Linked DNA regions of Macaca fascicularis. Each later gene encodes a partner of the first gene's protein in a complex. Links are inferred from orthologs where the notes say so. Each region holds a gene or a part of one and is shown on either strand. Other genes may lie near its edges.

Region 1 (3,524 bases):
CTTGAGAAACTCGTTAGTGTTTATTCAACCACATTTAATTAGAAGAAGCAAATTCTAATAGGATTGCTCACGACCACACAATTGTTCTGTTTCTAAATAGTGAAAAACCAGACAGGTCAAGGAATAACAATATAAACAATCCCCACCCCCCATTTCCTGGTTATCTAGTTTTCTTACATCATTCTCACTGGGACTAGGATTCTCAGCTTCCAACCCTAGAATGAGTTAGTGTCACAGAGGCTTAAGTAATCTCTGTTTTATTAATTAGAGCTTATGTTCATTTCTACATAAGCTTCTTTTGGAAGAAGTTAGGGGTCTTTCCTAGTTAGAAGGAGTATCTCTTCTTAGGAAGGGGTTGTATGATTGACAACTGGCACAAATAAATGAAGCTCTAGCTATCTCTTCTTAGGAAGGGGTTGTATGATTGACAACTGGCACAAATAAATGAAGCTCTAGCTCAGTATGTTCATGTATCAACATTGTAGTATTTAAAATGTCCTCATGCCTCCGATTCCCTTGCTTTGTCCCTCTCACTTCTTTAGCAGATGTCTCAAGAAAACATTGAGGAAGCAGGGTATATCTGTAGGCTCTTATGACCCCTAGTTTTCTTCTGGATCATCTTGCTCTGTGTGCATGTGTATGTGTGTATGTGTGTAATAACTACGCATAGAAGAAGTGCCTTGGAAGGTTTCTGAAGAGAACTCTTAGTGTTTCATTTGGCTTTGTAATTCTGGTGAGTTCTTATCTAACCAGCTCCCTTCTTTTCTTTTTCAGATGAGTTTGATGCCTACATCATTGTGTCTTTCGTGAATGCCACCCTGGTGTTGTCCATTGGAGAGACTGTAGAAGAAGTGACTGACTCTGGGTTCCTGGGGACCACCCCGACCTTGTCCTGCTCCTTATTAGGAGATGATGCCTTGGTGCAGGTGAGGGTTCTAGAGCTTACCTACTTGGCCTGCTTTGTTCTTTCTTGGCCTTCATTGTGATGTGGCTGCTGTGTTCATGTCTCTTCACTCTCACCTTCCAGTAAGCCTTAGGGACGGAGCTTATGATTTTGGCACATAACATCCCCCTCTGTATTTGCCATTTTTCTGTTACAGAGCCACATCACTGCAGCTTTCATCTCTAGTAAAGATCTTTGTAAGTGTTTTGTTAATAAGCTTTGAACTTCTTTGAAGTGGACACCGCAAAACATTAACTATTTAAAAGTTGACCTTGCCTGGGGCCTGCTAACTCTTTTGTCATTGATTCAACTGGTTACTCAAATGCAGTGGCCCTACATCTGATTGTAGTGACAGATCTGATAGATGTGAGGGTCATTCTGAGTGATGAATCAAATTGTTAGAGTCAGGTTTCTTTCTGTTACTGACTCTAGGTCTATCCAGATGGCATTCGGCACATACGAGCAGACAAGAGAGTCAATGAGTGGAAGACCCCTGGAAAGAAAACAATTGTGAAGTGTGCAGTGAACCAGCGACAAGTGGTGATTGCCCTGACGGGAGGAGAGTTGGTCTATTTTGAGATGGATCCCGTATGTTATTTTATCATTCACTGTGGGACTTAGTGCAGGGTCCAGAGGGAAGGATGGGCATTGTAATCTAGTCATTTAGATGACAGTATGGTGAAACCCTGTCTCTACTAACAATACAAAAATTAATGGGCCTGGTGACACACACCTGTAGTCCTAGCTACTTAGGAGGCTAAGGCAGGAGAATTGCTTGAACCTGGGAGGCGGAGGTTGCAGTGAGCTGAGATCATGCCACTGCACTCCAGCCTGGCAACAGAGCGAGACTCCATCTCAAAAAAAAGAGAAAAAAAAGGGAGTTGGAGTGACAGTGTTCACAAACCAATTTGGCCCTTTACAGAGATGGGGAAAAAGGGTAAGTTGATGTCTAATTCTGGGTAGAGTTATGAATTCCCCTGTTAGCAACGAAACACTTGCTCCTCCTGCATTTCACTCCCTACTTTTCCAACAAATATTTGGCATAGAATTGATTTCTGCAGTCTGATTCCATTTCAGAAAACTTCTATATGGAAGAATGTTCAGTACACATAATTACCTTGCTCTCAGGAGGGCTCTAGTGTGGCCAGATTTGTAGCCTGACTGTACCTTTGGTTGAGATGTCTTTGTCTTCAACCATATTTGAATTCCCTTCACCAAAGTATTCTTGTAAACACATAAACAGTTTTATATATCTCCATTTCCTGAGAGCAAAGTTGGCTAAGAAAATTTGTGGCACATTGACCTTGTTCATTCTCTTATTGATGGAAGATACTCATTTTGCTTGCTGTGAGCCTATTAAATTCAGTCTTGAGAACTCAGGTAGAGAAATTCTTGTCATTGATTATAGTAAGAGGAGTGAGAGTATGCAGAAGAAAATACAACAGCCGTCCTTCATTCTCTGGATCCAGGGTTTTGGGGTGAATTGGAGCATATAGACCCACCCCTTTGTAGTTTTGACCTCGCTCTGTCTTTCCTCTTATAGTCAGGACAGCTGAATGAGTACACAGAACGGAAGGAGATGTCAGCAGATGTGGTGTGCATGAGTCTGGCCAATGTACCCCCTGGAGAGCAGCGGTCTCGCTTCCTGGCTGTGGGGCTTGTGGACAACACTGTCAGAATCATCTCCCTGGACCCCTCAGTGAGTGACACTCTGAGCTTCAAGGATCATCTGGTTGGAACCTGAGCATCTGGCCCACTCCTGATGTCCATCTCTGAGATCAACTGGGTTAGACCCCAGAATCCATACCTGCTACTTCTCTTGTCATTGCAGTGTGTTCCAGGAGTTTCCTGCTGTGGTTTAAGGATATGATCTGAGACTACAGAAATGTTTCTTTGGCTTAAACCTCAACTCCCTTTTTTTAGTTAAAAACCGAGACTGCATAAATTTGACTTGCTGCAGGACCCTAGATGACTTTTCGGGAGGTGTGCTTTGCTTAATTACCTTTACCATTATCTTCTTTGACACAAGGAGGAAAGCATGATCTTCCTGAAGCTTATTCTGAGATTGGGTATAACTAATAACCCAATACTCTCTTAGAACTCACTCCCGGGGCTTTTTCTGTGCATAAGGAAGTACTTTTTCAATCCTAGAATTAGATTTCTCTGGGTATGTTTTTGTCCTAAAATTGTCATTTTCTGTGTTTTTATGATTTTTCTCTCCCTCTCAGGACTGTTTGCAACCTCTAAGCATGCAGGCTCTCCCAGCCCAGCCTGAGTCCTTGTGTATTGTGGAAATGGGTGGGACGGAGAAGCAGGATGAGCTGGGTGAGAGGGGCTCGATTGGCTTCCTATACCTGAATATTGGGCTACAGGTAAGAGATCCAGAGGCCTACATTGTGGACATCAGGCCTTCTGTAGGTTTCACACACTCCTTTGTTTGGTAACAGGCGTTTCCTCTGCCCGTGGTTTCAGATCCTTACCTATGAAAAGTAAACAGTGTCACTCTGGGTTCCACTTTTCTCAGCTCTTTGATTTGAACAAATCAGGCTGGGAAAGAAGTATTTTGATCAAGTGCTTTTTG
Region 2 (2,150 bases), on another chromosome or scaffold:
GCTGAGGCAGAGGGATCGCTTGAACCCAGGAGTTCAAAACCAGTCTGGGCAACATGGCAAAACCTCACCTCTACAAAAAATACAAAAATTAGCTGGGTGTGATGGCATACACCTGTGATCCCAGCTACTTGGGAGGCTTTGGTGGGAGAATCACCTGAGCCTGGGAGGTTGGGGGTGCAGTGAGCTGTGATCATGCCACCGCACTCCAGCCTAGGCAACAGAGCAAGACCATGTCTCCAAAAAAAAAAAGAAAAAAGAAAAAAACACGATGATCCTACACTATAGATATTGGGTCCCCCTATCTTCCAAACTAGAAGATAAGCTCTATGTAAGGAAACAATTACTCTAGTGCACAGCAGAGCTCAGCAACTGCAACAGTACATTACAGAACAAGCCTTTAAAATGTGGAGTGAGCACCCTTGCTCCTACTCCTACCTTACCATTCTTTTCATGATACTCTGACATCTCTTCTTAAAGAAAAAAGTTACTGTTGTCAAGGAAAACACCACAAATAAACAAGCAGTTTAGTTTTATTTTCTCTGTGCATTTGCAAAATACTCAGGACCAACATAAAAAAGAAATACCTCCTGTGGAAAAAATTACATTAAAAAGGGGAATGGGCTGGGGGTGCTAAAAGGGATTAGTACCTTAGCCCCAAGGAGCTACAGCATCTCTGATTGGTCCAAGGAATAGAAAAGATATTGGGAAGATGTAACAGGAGGAAGGAAAAATGTGAATTTACTGAGGGAGAGGGCCTCGAAGTGGACCTCGAGGGGGAACTGGTGGCCGGGGAGTGGGTCTGGGTGGAGGGAGAGGCCCCCGCTGGTAGCCATAGGGTGGGGGTCGTGGAGGGCCAGTGTATCCATGCGGGGGCATCAGTGGAGGAGGTCCACGCATACCATGCGGAGGCATAGGACCTGGGTGACCTGCAAGGAGTAAAAGAAAAGTTAGTAAGGGCACGGGACAAGGGATGTGCCTACAGGAAGCTGTAAGAACATGATAGGTGCAGATGAGGGAGGTGGCTAGAGACGACTTACCCATGGGAGATCCGAATGGAGGCCCTCGGGGGGGCATACCCATTGGAGGAGGTCCAGGATGAGGCATTCCAGGTGGTGGTCGGGGTGGTGGCTGCCCCCCAGAGCCTGGGGGTCCAGCGTGGGGATGTCCTAAGCCATGAGGGCCATGGTGTGCCAGCTGCATCTGAGACATCCCTATGAAAATAAAACAGACACAAGAAGAAAAGAGACAAAGAGAAGGCAAAGAAAATAGAGAAAAGAACAAAATTAGAAAGAAAGTGACATCAGAAAGAGAACTATACAGAAAAAAGGGTACAGAAAATAAGGCTGGCTGGGCACAGTGGCTCATGCCAATAATCCCAGCACTTCGGGAGGCCTAAGTGGATCACTTGAGCCCAGGAGTTCAAGACCAGCCTGGGCAACACAGTGAGAACCCATCTCTATCAAAAAATACTTTTAATTAGCCAGGCATGGTGGTGTGTGCCTGTAGTCCCAGGTACTCAGGAGGCTGAGATGGGAGGATCAAGGCTACAATAAGCCAAAACTACACTACTGCACTCCAGCCTGAGTGAAAGAGTGAGACCCCATCACCAAACAAACAAACAAACAAACAAAAAAAGAAGAGTGGTAAAAAGTGCTCCCTATCCTTGACCCTATTCCAACAGCACAAACCAACCAATTACTCAATCAACTCCTTACGCTCGCTTCTCCCATGATTTAGGTACTGTAATAGTAATGCTGAAGTATATAACAAGTGGAGTAATGACTCTGTTGATAGGATTTGAGAAAGTAGCAGAGAACATACTGTCTAAGCCAAGATCTAATTCTAAAGGATGAATGCTTCAGGAGGGTAAGATCATGGGAAGAAAGCATCCCAAGCAGAAAGATTACAGGTGTGTCAAACAGCACAATATATTCCAGGAAATGCCAGTTAACTCAGTAATCAGGAGCAAAATGCAGTTACAGAAATGAGGGGCAGGGGCCAGCTCATAAAGAGCTGTGAATGCTATGGTAATGAGTTTGAGTTTTACTCTGTAGGTAAAAGGGAGCAACAGAGTCATTTTGAGCAAGTGTGTGCACATCTGTGTTTTAAAAAACCTACTCTGTGAAAGTAGATCGAAGTTAGGGAAAACT
Region 3 (3,524 bases), on another chromosome or scaffold:
ATGCAAAAGATAAGAGTCCTGGTCAGACGCAGTGGCTCACACCTGTAATCCCAGCACTTTGGGAGGCGGAGGCAGGCAGATCACCTGAGTTCAGGAGACCGAGACCATCCTGGCCAACATGGTGAAACCCCGTCTCTACTAAAAATACAAAAATTAGCTGGGTGTGGTGGCGTGTGCCTATAATCCCAGCTGCTTGGGAAGCTGAGGCAGGAGAATTGCTTGAACCAGGGAGTCAGAGGTTGCAGTGAACTGAGATCATGGCACCGCACTCCAGTCTGGCAACAGAGTGAGACTCCATCTCAAAAAAATAAAAAACAAAAGTTCCTTACACTAGAAGGCCTAACATCATGGAATCTATGGTGGTGACTTAACATGCCTGTATCTCAGCTCACCAAACCCATGCACTTCCCCTAGATAAAGGAAATGTGGCTTCTTAGAGCACTAGCATTTCTGGTTACTTTGATCCTTTGACTACAGATGAAGAATAAAAGAATGTGGTTGCTTTTTATTTCAGCCCGTGGTCTGGACATTCCTTCAATTAAGACTGTCATTAACTATGATGTGGCACGAGACATTGATACTCACACGCATAGGATTGGCCGCACGGGAAGAGCGGGTGAGAAAGGTGTGGCCTATACCCTGCTCACTCCCAAGGACAGCAATTTTGCTGGTGACCTGGTCCGGAACTTAGAAGGAGCCAATCAACACGTTTCTAAGGAACTCCTAGATCTGGCAATGCAGGTGAGGGACTGGGCACACTTTCAGTTGCTCCTAGTTGTAAGACCAAGACATTTTAGCAGTCCTGGAGCAGACAACATAAAAACTTGACAAGAAAGTTGGGTGGGGGGGAGGATGTGGGGCTTATGAGGTACAGATAGGAATTGTGAGATACTGAAATTCATCTAGTCTTATCTGGTCTTCTCCTTCTTTCAACAACATCTGTTTTGAAAAGCTATTCCTTTGTACTAAAATCTGTCCCTGTAATTTCACCCCATAGCACACTTACGAGTAAATTTAATCTCAAAGATGGTTACTGTTCTTAGTGCTCTTCTCCCATAAAACTTTTCTTCTGGGGGGCTAAAAATGTGTGATGTCTTTGAAACAATATGTGTATAGTATAGTGCCCGCCCCCCCCCCTTTTTTTTTTTTTTTGAGACAGAATCTCGCTCTGTCGCCCAGGCTGGAGTGCAATGGCGCAATCTCAGCTCACTGCAACCTCCGCCTCCCGGGTTCAAGCGATTCTTCTGCCTTAGCCTCCCAAATAGTTGGGATTACAGGCGCCCACCACCATGCCTGGCCAATTTTTGTATTTTTAATAGAGATGGGGTTTTGCCATGTTGGTCAGGCTGGTCTGGAACTCCTGACATCTGGTGATCCTCCCGCCTTGGCCTGGGCCTCCCAAAGTGTTAGGATTACATGTGTGAGCCACCGTGCCCGGCTTATATAGTGCCTCTTAACTATTCCCAGCAGTCTGAGATCTTAGACCTTTGACCACACTGATTGCCATCTTCCAGGTATGCTCCCAGTCTAAAGCTAAGTGAGGCATTCTAACAAATCAAACCTAGAGTCATCTGAATCCATGCTGTCCCCAAATTACAAATGGGTTTGGAACACTTTGAGAGCAGAAACTGTTAAGAGTTTGTCAAATGCCTAGGCCAGCTCACATAACTGGTACAACTCAGCTGCAGTGTGGCAGTGCCCGAGTTTCTGGTCCTAGGAGTAAAGGACCTGAACTGCAAGAGAGAAGAGAATAATGTTTCCTCCCCTGCTCCTGAGCACAGAGAGCCAGTCCTAAATGACCTTTTAAACAGGACAGATTTTGTCTTTGGCATTTTCTTCCATTTCTTTTTGTACCTCAGACTTTCTGTGCTCAGAACTTTGCCCAAGCCTGCTGCCCTACCTCTCAAGCACTTTATTTTGCTGGTAATACTTGATTGTCAGATAAAGCTTTAACCTTCCCAGAGATATCTGCTTTTTTTTTTTTTTTTCCCCGCTTTTTTCTGAGATGGAGTCACACTCTATCACCCAGACTGGAGTGCAGTGGCGCAGTCTCAGCTCACTGAAGCCTCTCCGGTTCAAACAGTTCTCCTGCCTCAGCTTCCCGAGCAGCTGGGATTAGAGGCATGTGCCACCATGCCTGGCTAATTTTTGTATTTTTAGTAGGGACGGGGTTTCACCATGTTGGTCAGGCTGGTCTTTTTTTTTTTTTTTTTGTTTTTTTTTTTTTTTTGAGACGGAGTCTCGTTCTGTCTCCCAGGCTGGAGTGCAGTGGCCGGATCTCAGCTCACTGCAAGCTCCGCCTCCCGGGTTCACGCCATTCTCCGGCCTCAGCCTCCCGAGTAGCTGGGACTACAGGCGCCCGCCACCTCGCCCGGCTAGTTTTTTGTATTTCTTAATAGAGACGGGGTTTCACTGTGTTAGCCAGGATGGTTTCGATCTCCTGACCTCGTGATCCGCCCGTCTCGGCCTCCCAAAGTGCTGGGATTACAGGCTTGAGCCACCGCGCCCGGCCGGTCAGGCTGGTCTTAACTCCTGGCCTCTAGTGATCCGCCCGCCTTGGCTCCCAAAGTGCTGGGATTCACAGGTGTGAGCCACCGCCCTGCATTCCTAAGAGAATATGAGTAAATATGATGAGTAGTATCGTGGCAGTGGTCAAGTTCAATGAAAACTTTTAGGCTTGGTGGGTAAATCTTCAGTTGTGTGGCTACCATCCTTTCTGGGAGTCTGCCCCTATAGTCAGTTCTGATAAGCCTCACTTCACATAGCGTTTTTCCTTTGCTTCTGAACACACCATTTCTTTAAGCTCCACATGTTTATGTCCAATAGTATATGGTTTGAGAAATAAAAAATAATCTCATTTTTCTCAAGGAAGTTAGAAGTAGCCAAAGTGACTCTTTGTGTTTGAAGCTTTTCTGAACAACTTCCCTTCCAGGAGAGCCTGAGGGAGGGAGCACTATAGGAAGCCTTAGATAAGGAACTCAGCCGCTTTTCAAATTTGGTGGATTATGCTACCAAGGAGAAACTAATCTGTGGTTCCTGTGAACAGTTCCTCCCTTAGCATAAATGTGCTGGCTGAAAGTTAAGCAAAGAGTTCCCCCTTCCCACTTAATTTCCTCTTTGTCCTCATCCTCTTCCTCTGGTCTTTTCTCCCTTCCTTGAGTTAACCTTGAATTTTGTTCAATGCAGAATGCCTGGTTTCGGAAATCTCGATTCAAAGGAGGGAAAGGAAAAAAGCTGAACATTGGTGGAGGAGGCCTAGGCTATAGGGAGCGGCCTGGCCTGGGCTCTGAGAACATGGTGAGTCTAGACTACAGTAGTGTCTTTAGGGTTGGTCTCATGTCCTGAATGTCATTAGGAATATTCTCATCTGCCCAGGAAAGCCTCAGTGAGTTTAAAACCCTGTCTAGAAGGGAATTTGTATTTAATCTGATTTGAGTCAATTCTGTGCTCATTCTTATGGTAACTTTCTATTGAAGAAGCATCTTTGTGTACTTGGTTGACTAGGCTTGCTCAGGAAATTATTC
Region 4 (2,299 bases), on another chromosome or scaffold:
GTAGGTCTGCATTCATTTGAATCTTAAGTGGGGCTGGAGGATCTGCTTCCAAGCTCTCTCACATGCCTGTTGTTTGGAAGCCTAAGTTCTTTGCCCCATAGACCTTTCTATAAGACTGCTCACAATAGAGCAACTGGCTTCCCCGGAGCAAGTAACCCAAACAAAGACAGAAGGCATGGTTTTTAAAATAACCTAATTTTGGAAGATATTACTTTTGACATATTCTGTTGGCCACACAGACCAACTCTAGTACAAATTGGGAAGAGACTACACAGAGTAGGAATACCAAGAGGGTGGGGCTCATCCTGAGGCTGTCTTTGAGGATGACTGCTATACTCTCTCGAGAGCCAAGGCTTTATAGAAATGAAGGCTTAACACTTCTAAAAAGAAGTTTACCTAAAAATTTGTGTTTCTTGGTTGAAAATGATAAGATCCTTAAAACCATATTTGACTCAAGTGCTGTTTCTTCCTGTTAGATATTACTGCAATGTCTGTGACTGTGTGGTGAAGGACTCCATCAACTTTCTGGATCACATTAATGGAAAGAAACGTAAGGCTTGGAGGTAGCTTGTGACTAGGGCTGGAATTGGGTTTTGGAGGTGGGGTGGAATGGAAGGGTAGGTTTTTTTTTTTTTCTTCCTCTTCTTTTTACTGATCAAAAGAAGGCTGGAGTAAGAAAGGTAGTTTCTATTGGGCTCTTTTTTGATGCCCCTATTAGAACTCTCCAGTTGTTTCAGCACAGGCCATCTTTTACTTCATTATGTAATATTTCTGGAGGCAATGGGTAAGAGGCCTTATTCTGGAGGCCATGAGACTTTTAACAGCACCCAAACCATGTGCTGCTCCTGGGCCCAGCTGACCAAGGGAGTTTCTTTTAACCGTAATTATTTGTGCTGTGTGTTTTATGAGATGTCATATGAGAAGATGTCAGAGAAGTCAGGAAAATACTTTTTGAGGGGCTGAGGATGTTTTAATGAGCTTGCCTTCTTCACTGTTGACCCCATCCAGATCAGAGAAACCTGGGCATGTCTATGCGTGTGGAACGTTCCACCCTGGATCAGGTGAAGAAACGTTTTGAGGTCAACAAGAAGAAGATGGAAGAGAAACAGAAGGATTATGATTTTGAGGAAAGGATGAAGGAGCTCAGAGAAGAGGTAAGCCTCTCCTAGTCTTCCCCTCTGCCCCAGATTTGAGTTTTATGTTATGAATCATGGGAGACCCTGTCCTCATCCCACTCCTACTCCCAGCCCCAGAGTTGTATCTCCTGAGTTCTGTATATTAGCGGAAACATTTGTTGCCTTTGTTTAGGATTCTCATGATCTGAAGGAAATGGCTCTGAAACGACTTTTTTGTCCTGGACTCTGTGGGCCTTATTATTTATTTATTTTGGCGATACAGATATTTCTCAACTTCTGACAGGGTTACCTACCGATAAACCCATCATCAAGTTAAAAATATCTTAAGTCAAAAATGTGTAATACACCTAACCTACCATAGTTTAGTCTAGCCTACCTTAATGTGCTCAGAACACATTAGCCTACAATTGACCCAGATTATCTAACACAAAACCTATTCTATAATAAAGTATTCATCTCATTAATTTATTGAATACTGTACTGAATGTGAAAAACAATGGTTATATGGATACTTGAAGTACAGTTTCAAATGCATGTCAGTTTTGCACCATTGTAAAACTGAAAAATCTTGTCAGAGCATCGTAAGTTGAGGACTCTCATCTGTATTCTTTGATTTAATTTTTTAAAAAGACTTAACTTTTTTTTTGGCCGGGTGCGGTGGCTCAAGCCTGTAATCCCAGCACTTTGGGAGGCCGAGACGGGTGGATCACGAGGTCAGGAGATCGAGACCATCCTGGCTAACACGGTGAAACCCCGTCTCTACTAAGAAATACAAAAAAAAAAAACTAGCCGGGCGAGGTGGCGGGCGCCTGTGGTCCCAGCTACTCGGGAGGCTGAGGCCGGAGAATGGCGTGAACCCGGGAGGTGGAGCTTGCAGTGAGCTGAGATCTGGCCACTGCACTCTAGCCTGGGCTACAGAGCGAGACTCCGTCTCAAAAAAAAAAAAAAAAAAAAAAAAAAAAAGACTTAACTTTCTTTAGAGCAGTTTGGGTTTGCAACAAAATCGAGAGGGAGGTATAAAGATTTCCCATATACCCACTGTCCCCCACAACATGCATAGCTTCCTCCATACTTTTTTTTTTTAACTACAAGAGGAATTAACTAAATGTACCTAGTCCTAAGGAGGCCCATGAAATCAGGCTGACTGGGTCAGAATTCTGTTT

The links. The genes of interacting proteins can lie anywhere in the genome.
Region 2: SF3B3 (region 1) and SF3B4 share a complex: the UniProt entries of both Homo sapiens proteins name them as parts of the SF3B subcomplex of the 17S U2 SnRNP complex. The link is inferred for Macaca fascicularis from reciprocal best matches to the Homo sapiens genes SF3B3 and SF3B4.
Region 3: the proteins of SF3B3 (region 1) and DDX42 are in contact, whole or in part, in a cryo-EM structure (PDB 7EVN), measured with the Homo sapiens proteins. The link is inferred for Macaca fascicularis from reciprocal best matches to the Homo sapiens genes SF3B3 and DDX42. Residues at the interface, in NP_036558.3 of Homo sapiens: Glu159, Ala160, His161, Tyr211, His219, Val220, Val221, Arg222, Lys223; in NP_031398.2 of Homo sapiens: Lys145, Gly146, Ile147, Arg148, Asp149, Asp150.
Region 4: SF3B3 (region 1) and ZMAT2 share a complex: the UniProt entries of both Homo sapiens proteins name them as parts of the spliceosome B complex. The link is inferred for Macaca fascicularis from reciprocal best matches to the Homo sapiens genes SF3B3 and ZMAT2.

What each region holds. Positions count from the first base shown.
Region 1 is NC_088394.1:69,784,843-69,788,366, reverse strand, and holds part of SF3B3 (splicing factor 3B subunit 3), read left to right. Parts: intron 1-774; coding exon 775-926; intron 927-1,375; coding exon 1,376-1,531; intron 1,532-2,486; coding exon 2,487-2,642; intron 2,643-3,171; coding exon 3,172-3,315; intron 3,316-3,524. UniProt on the Homo sapiens protein: Component of the 17S U2 SnRNP complex of the spliceosome, a large ribonucleoprotein complex that removes introns from transcribed pre-mRNAs.
Region 2 is NC_088375.1:111,356,207-111,358,356, reverse strand, and holds the end of SF3B4 (splicing factor 3B subunit 4), read right to left. Parts: intron 1,212-2,150; coding exon 1,038-1,211; intron 927-1,037; coding exon 739-926; 3' UTR 513-738; downstream 1-512. UniProt on the Homo sapiens protein: Component of the 17S U2 SnRNP complex of the spliceosome, a large ribonucleoprotein complex that removes introns from transcribed pre-mRNAs.
Region 3 is NC_088390.1:70,319,624-70,323,147, forward strand, and holds part of DDX42 (ATP-dependent RNA helicase DDX42), read left to right. Parts: intron 1-514; coding exon 515-741; intron 742-3,186; coding exon 3,187-3,297; intron 3,298-3,524. UniProt on the Homo sapiens protein: ATP-dependent RNA helicase that binds to partially double-stranded RNAs (dsRNAs) in order to unwind RNA secondary structures. Unwinding is promoted in the presence of single-strand binding proteins.
Region 4 is NC_088380.1:147,179,423-147,181,721, forward strand, and holds part of ZMAT2 (zinc finger matrin-type protein 2), read left to right. Parts: intron 1-476; coding exon 477-550; intron 551-1,008; coding exon 1,009-1,154; intron 1,155-2,299. UniProt on the Homo sapiens protein: Involved in pre-mRNA splicing as a component of the spliceosome.